Linked DNA regions of Drosophila melanogaster. The protein of the gene in region 1 interacts with the protein of each later gene in a pairwise test. Each region holds a gene or a part of one and is shown on either strand. Other genes may lie near its edges. The genes, in order: CG16790 and PGRP-LB.

Region 1 (3,488 bases):
CAACACAAATTAATTAAAAACCAATAAAAGGAGAATATAACTAAGAGCTTATATTAGTTTTGCGGCAAAAGCAAAGTGCAAAAAAAGGGGCTGGCGTCGTCGTATTCCAGTGGCTGATAGTGCTGGTGATAACAGGAGCGCTAAGCTAATAATACTAGAGAAACATAAACATATGTGCATGGACCCCGGACTTTTCGGAAAGCTCAGTTGTAGATGGACGCCTGGTTGGAGCTGTTGTGCCTCAGTTTGTTCAGGAGCACTACTTCCCAACTGGTTTATCGCAGTCCCAGGCGATTGTTATTCCAGCGCTTCCAATCAATCAGCCCATACTCAACAAATACTTGATTACAGGTAGGCCATATAGAATTCCTCTCAATTCGCAAACCTGACCAGCAGTTACTCTGTGCATCTGCTATTGGTTGGACGTTGGAAAATATAGGAAAAACAGTAGCGTTCCGGAATGTCTGCCACTCCTCCAACAACACCTGCGCCCACGGCTGCAGCTTCCGCCGGAAAGGGTCTTCACTCCAGGGCATATAATGGACTTATCAAGGCCTGCGACAAGTATGTGCCCCCCAAGATGCGACCCTTGTGGATGCACCCAGCAGGTGATCATAAATAGAAGCATTTTAAGCACAGAGAGGAACTAACATATCTTTCCTTCAGGACCCAAGACCATATTCTTTTGGGCTCCAATCGTTAAGTGGGTAAGTTTTTGCACTACTTGCATAACCATGAACCCTGCGTCCTTAGCCAATTCCCATTATCACCGTACTGATAAACAAACCTGTGGGCGAATATTGTGTTTTATTATTATTTGTTTAGTTCTCGGCAAACCTGTTCAAGCCCGCGATAAATATGTATATATGTACTTATATACCATTTTCCTCTCCACGCGCGAGATTCTGATAACTGAATGATTGTGCGGTTTGTGGGGCTCATGGAATATTTCATAATACTTTTACTGTTTTGACTGGGGGGAGCTTTGCCAACATGCTATTCAGATTTGCAGTCAATGGGGGGACTTACCCTGCACTATCGGCCAGATCTCCCTAATCTCCGCAACCATTCCGTTTATATTCCACCACAGAGCCTCGTTATCGCGGGTCTCAGTGATTTGACGCGTCCTGCGGACAAGATTTCGCCTAACGGATGTCTGGCTCTTGGGGCAACGAACCTCATCTGGACGCGCTACTCTCTGGTGATCATTCCCAAGAACTACAGCTTGTTCGCGGTTAATCTCTTCGTGAGTCTGACGCAGCTCTTCCAATTGGGTAGGTACTACAACTACCAGTGGGAGCAGTCGAGGCTGGAGAAAAATGGCGAGCAATGCCCGGCTATTGAAGCCAGTTTGTAGTAGTCCAATTTGTGCATTTCAATGGATTTAGTCTAAATAAAAACAAGTTTTAAGGCTTTAACGGTCAATACATTTAAAGTGGAAATTTTACAGTAAAAAAATGTTAAAAAAATAAGTACTATTTAAATAATTAAAAGTGAATTTTATAACTTTTTTTTAATGTTATTAATTGCAATTTAATTGCTTAAAACAAAATAGTTTATCAACATAAATTTAAAACCAAGCTAAATACACATCACTTTCAATTTAATCGATAAATGTAAATAAAAACCGCCGAACATTGTGCTGTTGGTCATTTCTTGTTTACTGCAATCAAATAAAAATACATAAATAAATAATAATATGGCCCTGGTGGACTATGGTGGCAGCAGCTCCTCCGCCTCCGAGGATGAGGACTGCACCGAAAACATTCAAACTCCCGCGTTGATCACCTTGAAAAGGTAACGTCCTTTACTGGAATACCCGTAGATTTCTACATTATAACCGCCAAAGACCGGCCCTACCCAAAGCAGCCACCCTGCTGGGCCCCAAGAAGCCCAAGCCCGAGGAGTTCGTCGAGGATGTGGTGGATGATCCCGCGGAACATGGCGGCCGCATGCGTAGTTTCAAGCATGAACGGGGAAACTGGGCCACTTACGTCTATGTGCCGGCAACAGCATGTGTTGACCAGCTGGAGGAGTTCCAAACGGAGGCCATTGCTCGTCTGGAGCCACACTTGGAACTGCAGCCGAACGAGTCGCTCCATCTGAGCCTGAGTCGAACAGTGGTGCTGCAGTACCATCAGATCGATGAATTCTCCCGATCCTTGCAAAGCGCCCTCAACAGCTCTGCGGGGTGAGATGTTTAACCAAGTTAAATCTAGTATCTCCCATCCTGATGACCAATCCTCTTTTAGATTCGCCGCCACTTTGCAGGGGCTGCGGATCTACACGAATGAGGAGCGAACCAGGACCTTCATTGCTGCGCCCCTGGACGCTGCATTTGTGGAGAAGATGACTGCCATTCTGCAGCCCATCGACCAAGTGATGCTCGACTACCGGCTGCAACAGTTCTATGATCCGGCCTCGTTCCACGTCAGCCTTCTTTGGTGCGTTGGCGACCAGGAGACACTGCTTAACGAAAAGCTCACGGAGTTAAAAGAGCTCCTTGATGATCAGGACAAACTCTGCCTGGCGGTCAATGAGGTGCACCTAAAGTGCGGCAACAAGGATTTTACCTACTCGTTGAAATAGGATATTGCCAGTCTTTAACTGAATCATAAATATTTATGCATGCTGATCTTTCAATTGGAATGTAGTGGAAAATATATATTGACTTTATTAGGTATCAAAAATGTAATCTGTTCCATATTAGCTCATATATATGAACATATAAATTGTAGTTTGCTAATAAAAGCAAGATTGTAAAGCAAGCCATAGCGTTGAATGAATGGTTACCATTAGCAATCCAAAGATGTTTCCTTACAAATTAGGCTTAAATATAAGAAGTCCAGTGATTACCTTTTAATTAAGACCCTTTTTCTTGTTACCATTTCCCTGCTTGGCCGCCTGCGCCTGCTCCTCCAGTAATCGCTCCTCCTCCAGCTCCAAAAACCGCTGACGACGGCGGCCGAGCGGGGTCTTCGACCACCAGGACTCGAAAGCTTCCTCCTCTTCGCGGTAGACGGGATCTCGTGAGCTGAAAGGCATGGAAACTAACAACTAACTAATTTCATAGCCAAATCTACTTACCACAGAACATTGATCAGTTCGGCATTGGTCAATGGTTGGGTGCGCAGCTGGAGTTTCCGCTTGCAGGTCATCACCTCCTTGAGGCACGCATCGATGGACCCAATGGTATAGCCATCTGATATTTTGGCCATGGCGCTGGTGTCCAGATTGGAAATGCCACCAGAGTAATCGCTGTCGGGGTGCAAACCAAATCAGTAGATTATTTTGCAAATGAATCCCCCACATTTACGCACTGTAACAATGTTTTCCAGGCATGTGACATGGCGCCGTAATCCGGTCGTGGAATATAGATGAACCGATTGTAGACGGATTGCAATAGCTTTTGATCCGCCTCCCAGGGCAGATTGGAAGTGCCAATGAAAACGACGCGATCCTCGGGCGCAATGTTCTTTATCAACTTG
Region 2 (5,137 bases), 1.9 Mb from region 1:
GATTTTGGGGCGCGTAAAATGTAAAATATTCCAACAAAGTACTCCTTATGTCATATGACAGACGACAAACTTTGGCAATAAATCAAACAACAGGCGACGAGCGCTGTTTGTAGGCGGTACAGCTTCAGCTGAATGCGGTTCAGCTCAGCTCAGTTCAGTTCACTTCGGTTTTAGCCTTCTGTGCGGGCATACAAAAGTGGGCGGTTGAGGAGGGGGTGGGGCGTGGCAAGAGAGGCACACGTGGAATACAGAAGCAGTGAAATGCCAAGATGCCACCGCTGTATAGACTTAATACACTTTCGGCACACACAAATTCACTTCCTTAATTGAAATTTTAATTTGAATACTTTGGCAAAGTTTTGGCCGACAGCCAGCTAGCGAGTGAGACAGCTCAGGCAGCAATAACAAACAGCCAAAAAGTCGCCGAAATCCAAATTCCCCGCCACCCATTTCAGGACCAATACCCCCCACCCAGCCCCTTACACAATTTCGCCCCGCGGATCCTTTGCGCTGGCAATCTCGCACAGGCTCAGCGAGTTTTCAATTTACGCGCCTCGCGAGTCGTTTGTCATTTTATGCGTCCTAATATATGGCATGTGCGTGCCGCTACAAGGATACCAGCAGCAGTATCCTTCGCCACCGCCTGGTATCCCCCCATGCTCAATTTTGAGGGGATACCAACCAGCAAGGCGTAACTAATCAGCACAGGCAATGATATGGCGACATCTGATGAATTGTTCGCACAGCCGAAGATTTCAATTGGGGGTGTTGGCATATACATATGTATATATATCTAAATGAATGTGCACGCAGAGAAAATTAATGTATCACTTACTATCACGATCGAAAAGCACTCCATTAAGTCCAAATCTGATGCCAAAATTAAATAAGGTCAGTTACTTTAAAATGAAAAAAAAACCCCCAACGTTATCTTTCAGCCGACGGGGAAGAGAAAAAAAAAAACCCGGCCCTTGAATTCGTATCATTAAATTACTACTTCTCATTATTGCCTGATATTCACAGTTGGCTCTCGGGAGCCATTTATAACGATTGCGATTATTCCGATAGGGAAAATGAAATATTGAAAACAGATAGGACGGCCAGTCAGTATCCGCGTGGAAATTATAGTGTGTTTCACTTTGCGCTATAGATAGATATAGATAGACTCTCCCACTTGCATGGCCAACGCCATCAAAGAGTTTTCATTGTGGCCCCGGGGATTCCCAGACGAGTGCAATTACTTTTGTTAATTGTAATACACACAACCCCAACCAACCAACCAACGCAGAGACACCCGTTTATTTGTCTAATGTGCGAGAGTGTAAAGCTTCTGGCTCGATAATGTTTACCTGGGTGAATACCCCACCACCACCTGGAGCTGGAGCTGGTGCTGGGGGGGGGGGGGTTATAAAAGAAGGCCTGTGATTTTGCGTGTGATTTTTGCCCCCCCTCGAAATTTTTTACTGGGAGAGCGTGCCAAGGCGTAGTTAGTGAGCGGCACTTAATACCCTGATAAGATGTGCGATTAGCGGGCAGCCAGTCGAATGGTAAGTTATGAGCACAATGGTCAGCGCTTCCAGCTGCCAAAAGTCGAATGCGCAATGCTCTAACCGGGGATTTTCGATCGGTGATAATTCAATTGATTTTTATCGCATATTAATTGTATACCCGATTTATTTGGGGGATTTTTGTAGGACTTAATGCATTTTCTAAACAAACATCTCGTATTAATGAGTACAGATATATACGAAACATTTTTCGCTGTGTGTTTATCTGATTTGCACACCTGGGTCGTTAAAATATATTTATTAGCATTGTATATCCACCTGCTTGGGCCCATCAAATTGACGACCCCATGCACACGAAAATAATTGTTAAACGTATTTATTTTTCATTTAACCTGCGGATTTAAGAACTTCCAAGTGGTGGACCTCTCGAAGAAAGAAGAGCAACTCAAGATTACAAGACCTAATCAACGGTCCCCTTGTTGCCAACGAACATAGAAAACTGCCTCTAAGACTTCGGACTTCATTTCAGTTAGCGTCAAAGACATTGGCAAACAACATGGGCGACAAGGTGTCTGGATCCGTCTCCACTTCTGGCCCAACTTCCTTGGCAATCCTCATGGACTCGGAGCAATTGGAGCAGCAACAGCTGGCCACAAGTTGTGGTAAGTAGCGCCGCAACTATTTTGCTGCTGAAAACAATTCAACAATTTCCAAGAGCGTTTGAGAGAAATTTCCCCTTTTTGAAGTGTAATAAATATTCCAATGCTGGGCGAAGGGGGGGGGGCGGTGTGGTCTGCGTGTTTACCTTGCCACAAGTATAAACAGCAAATAAAATAAGACAAGTAGAGGTTGGAGGAGAAAATGAGTCCGGTGATTTGGACTTCCTTTGGACGAGGCGCCAGAACGCATCTGGCGGTTATCCCCCGAAATTTTCGACTCGAAAAACCTGTGTGCACACAAAGAAAAAAAAACTAATTCAGATTAAGAGCGAGATGAAGATGAAGATGGAATGTGCTTGTTCGCCATAAATCGACGACGGAAAATAAAACGCTGTTAATTTGTCTAGCCATCCGATCTCGGCACTCCGACTAAAGCAATTTAATACCAGCCGCATTTGCAGCGGGATTCCCCCAAAAAAATCAAAGCGATCCCACCAAGGGGCATCCCCGATTCGAAAATACAACAAAAACAAAAATTAAATCACACGAATACATATTATAAAAGAGTATGTCCGGTGCCGGTGGTCAAAGAAAGCAAATGACACAGAGAACGACGGGGGCAGTGATGCTGTCACAGCAACCAGCCATAAAAAATCACGGTTTTGAGTTTTGGAATCGTAAACAACTGAAATCGTGCGAAAAGAATATCAGCTTTTATAGGAATATAATTTAAATAAGATATCATGTATCCTTACGTGTAAAACAAAGTAAACCCAAACTATTGAAACGATTCAAGTTGGTTCTTATAAAGGATTCAGACTAAAAGAATAATCTTTCCACTATGAACATAAAAAATGAGAATACATTTCAAAAATGAATTCAATTAAAAATCTGTATCTAAGTTAATATAAAGATTTCATTGAAATGGTTAATTTACATTTTTAAATAAGGAATTTCGTACGAAGAAATGTCACATCTGCGAGCTGTCAACCTTTGTTTTAACTCTAGTCTGTGACTATGTATTTAGATGGCATCAGCCGAATTTCCTGACTGCAAAAAATATTCAACAATTCAACTGTCACCTCCAGCTATGGAAATTGTTCGTTCATTTATCAAAACACAAGAAGTAAAACCGCAGATGTGAGCTCAAAAACGCAATATTACCATTTAAAAAAGAGATGGTTAAAGCAACGGATGACTCATAGATTTCATTTTGGGCGAATAACAGTGACATTAATAAATCGCCACAGGGAGATTCAAAAATAACGTAAACTTAGCCATTGGCAAATGCTAAGTTCAGTTCGCAGCTGTCTGATTATTTGCACAACCAAAGTCTTGAGAATTGGTTAAAAAAAAAAAAGTTCCCCATAGCTGATTTATGCCCTCGATAGAGGGTTCTTATCAGCAGCGACCTTCGAGAATGACCGATATTGAACTAGTTGAATGAGTGTCATTCTGATCCGTATGATCAGCGATCCGTATCACGGTAATCTAATCGTCACTTGCCAAAACAGTTGGGATTGTTAATCACTCACGCTTGTCGGAAGTTGTTATTGCGGGGCGTGAGTCGTGCCCTATAGTCTATGCAACGTTTTCAGTGATTAACCCTAATTGGTTATCTAAGTGTTGGGCCAAAGTGTAGTCATTTCGTGCACGCGAAGAAAAGTAACGATTTTGAAATAGGTTCACACATGAACAGTGGAACAGTAATCACTCAATGCAAAATAATCAAAGCTAATTTCAAACAAGTTGGTTTAAGTGAAAACGTTTGGCTGAATAAAGCAAATATTGTCTGGTGCCAATATTTTCTTTCTCTGCACGCGTATCTGTCATTTGGAATGTCGATTCAGAGTGACACGTGTGATAGCCCTCGTAGCCGCAGCGCTTGAAAAAGAACCCTTCGGATTGGCAAAAAAAAAAAAGTACCGGCGATCGGAGGAGGTAAAATGCGGTTGAATGGGGCCAATAAATTCGCGGCGGCATGGGTAATTCACCGCAAACGAGGCGCTAGTTCGATCATCGTATTAAATTTCCCTAAGGGCGACATCGTGACCTTAGCGCAACTCGCCGCCTGATAACAGCTTTATCAAACTCGGCTGCGACGTCAACGGCGGCAGCGGCAGCAGCAGAAGCAGCGGCGGTAGCCGCGACAGCGGCGGTAACCGTCGAGGCGCGGCAGCGGCGGCCAAAAGCTCACTCCGAGCGAAATCGAAATCAAAGAGCGAGCGGCGAGAGCGTTGGGGGGCCATAAGTTCGATGCGATTAGCCATTTGTTTGGCATTGCTCCCACGGCAGCGGCGGCGGTCACAGCAACAGCAATCGGAAGCAGCGACGCCAGCAGAGGCAGAAGCAGCAGCAGAGGCAGCAGCAGCAGTGCGAATTCGGTGTGTGAATTTTTCTATAAACTCCGGTCCGCCCTTATGCTGGCCAACATTCGCGCTTTATACGCTTGATACGAAGCATAACGCCGCTATGTGAGCGCTGCCGCACCAAAGTCTGACCTTCACACACTGTCGAAATTTTGCACAACTCTTGCCACAAAGCAAAAAAAAAATAAACGGTAGCAGTCAGCCAGCAAACAAACAACGCTGCAAGCAAACCAACAAACAAACAAAGAAACAAACAAACACAAAAATAAACAAACAAACAAGACAAGAAACAAACAGCGACTAGCAGTCGATACAAAAGTTCCTAAATCCAAGTCACAGTTCCTAAGCAGTTGGATTGCAGCAGCACTAACTTCGCAACAGCAGCAGCAACTTGGCAACAGCAGCAACATCGCAACAGCAGCAGCAACTTCGCAGCAACAGCAGCTAAAAGCAGCAACATGACAGCACTGGGATTAGTTCTGCTATCGATGATGGGTAAGTGCCGGGTGTTAGGGTGCTTTTCCTTATCGCCATGCCCCTGAGAACTTACCAATTGTGCAGATAGCACCCGGTATGGGAATGTGGGGCTATAAGATCGGGT

The links.
Region 2: the proteins of CG16790 (region 1) and PGRP-LB interact in a two-hybrid assay, tested with the Drosophila melanogaster proteins (one large-scale study listed by BioGRID).

What each region holds. Positions count from the first base shown.
Region 1 is NT_033777.3:9,568,352-9,571,839, reverse strand, and holds CG16790 (uncharacterized protein), read left to right. Parts: upstream 1-1,625; 5' UTR 1,626-1,699; coding exon 1,700-1,797; intron 1,798-1,849; coding exon 1,850-2,191; intron 2,192-2,252; coding exon 2,253-2,589; 3' UTR 2,590-2,766; downstream 2,767-3,488. Other genes in the region: CG9396 (uncharacterized protein), read left to right, coding at 461-608, 667-707, 1,091-1,357; CG16789 (uncharacterized protein), read right to left, coding at 2,860-3,034, 3,088-3,258, 3,321-3,488. UniProt on the Drosophila melanogaster protein: 3'-5' RNA exonuclease that trims the 3' end of oligo(U) tracts of the pre-U6 small nuclear RNA (snRNA) molecule, leading to the formation of a mature U6 snRNA 3' end-terminated with a 2',3'-cyclic phosphate.
Region 2 is NT_033777.3:11,457,480-11,462,616, reverse strand, and holds the start of PGRP-LB (peptidoglycan recognition protein LB), read left to right. Parts: upstream 1-2,064; coding exon 2,065-2,170; intron 2,171-4,596; exon of another isoform or gene 4,597-4,994; coding exon of another isoform or gene 4,995-5,031; intron 5,032-5,137. UniProt on the Drosophila melanogaster protein: N-acetylmuramyl-L-alanine amidase involved in innate immunity by degrading bacterial peptidoglycans (PGN). Probably plays a scavenger role by digesting biologically active PGN into biologically inactive fragments. Has no direct bacteriolytic activity.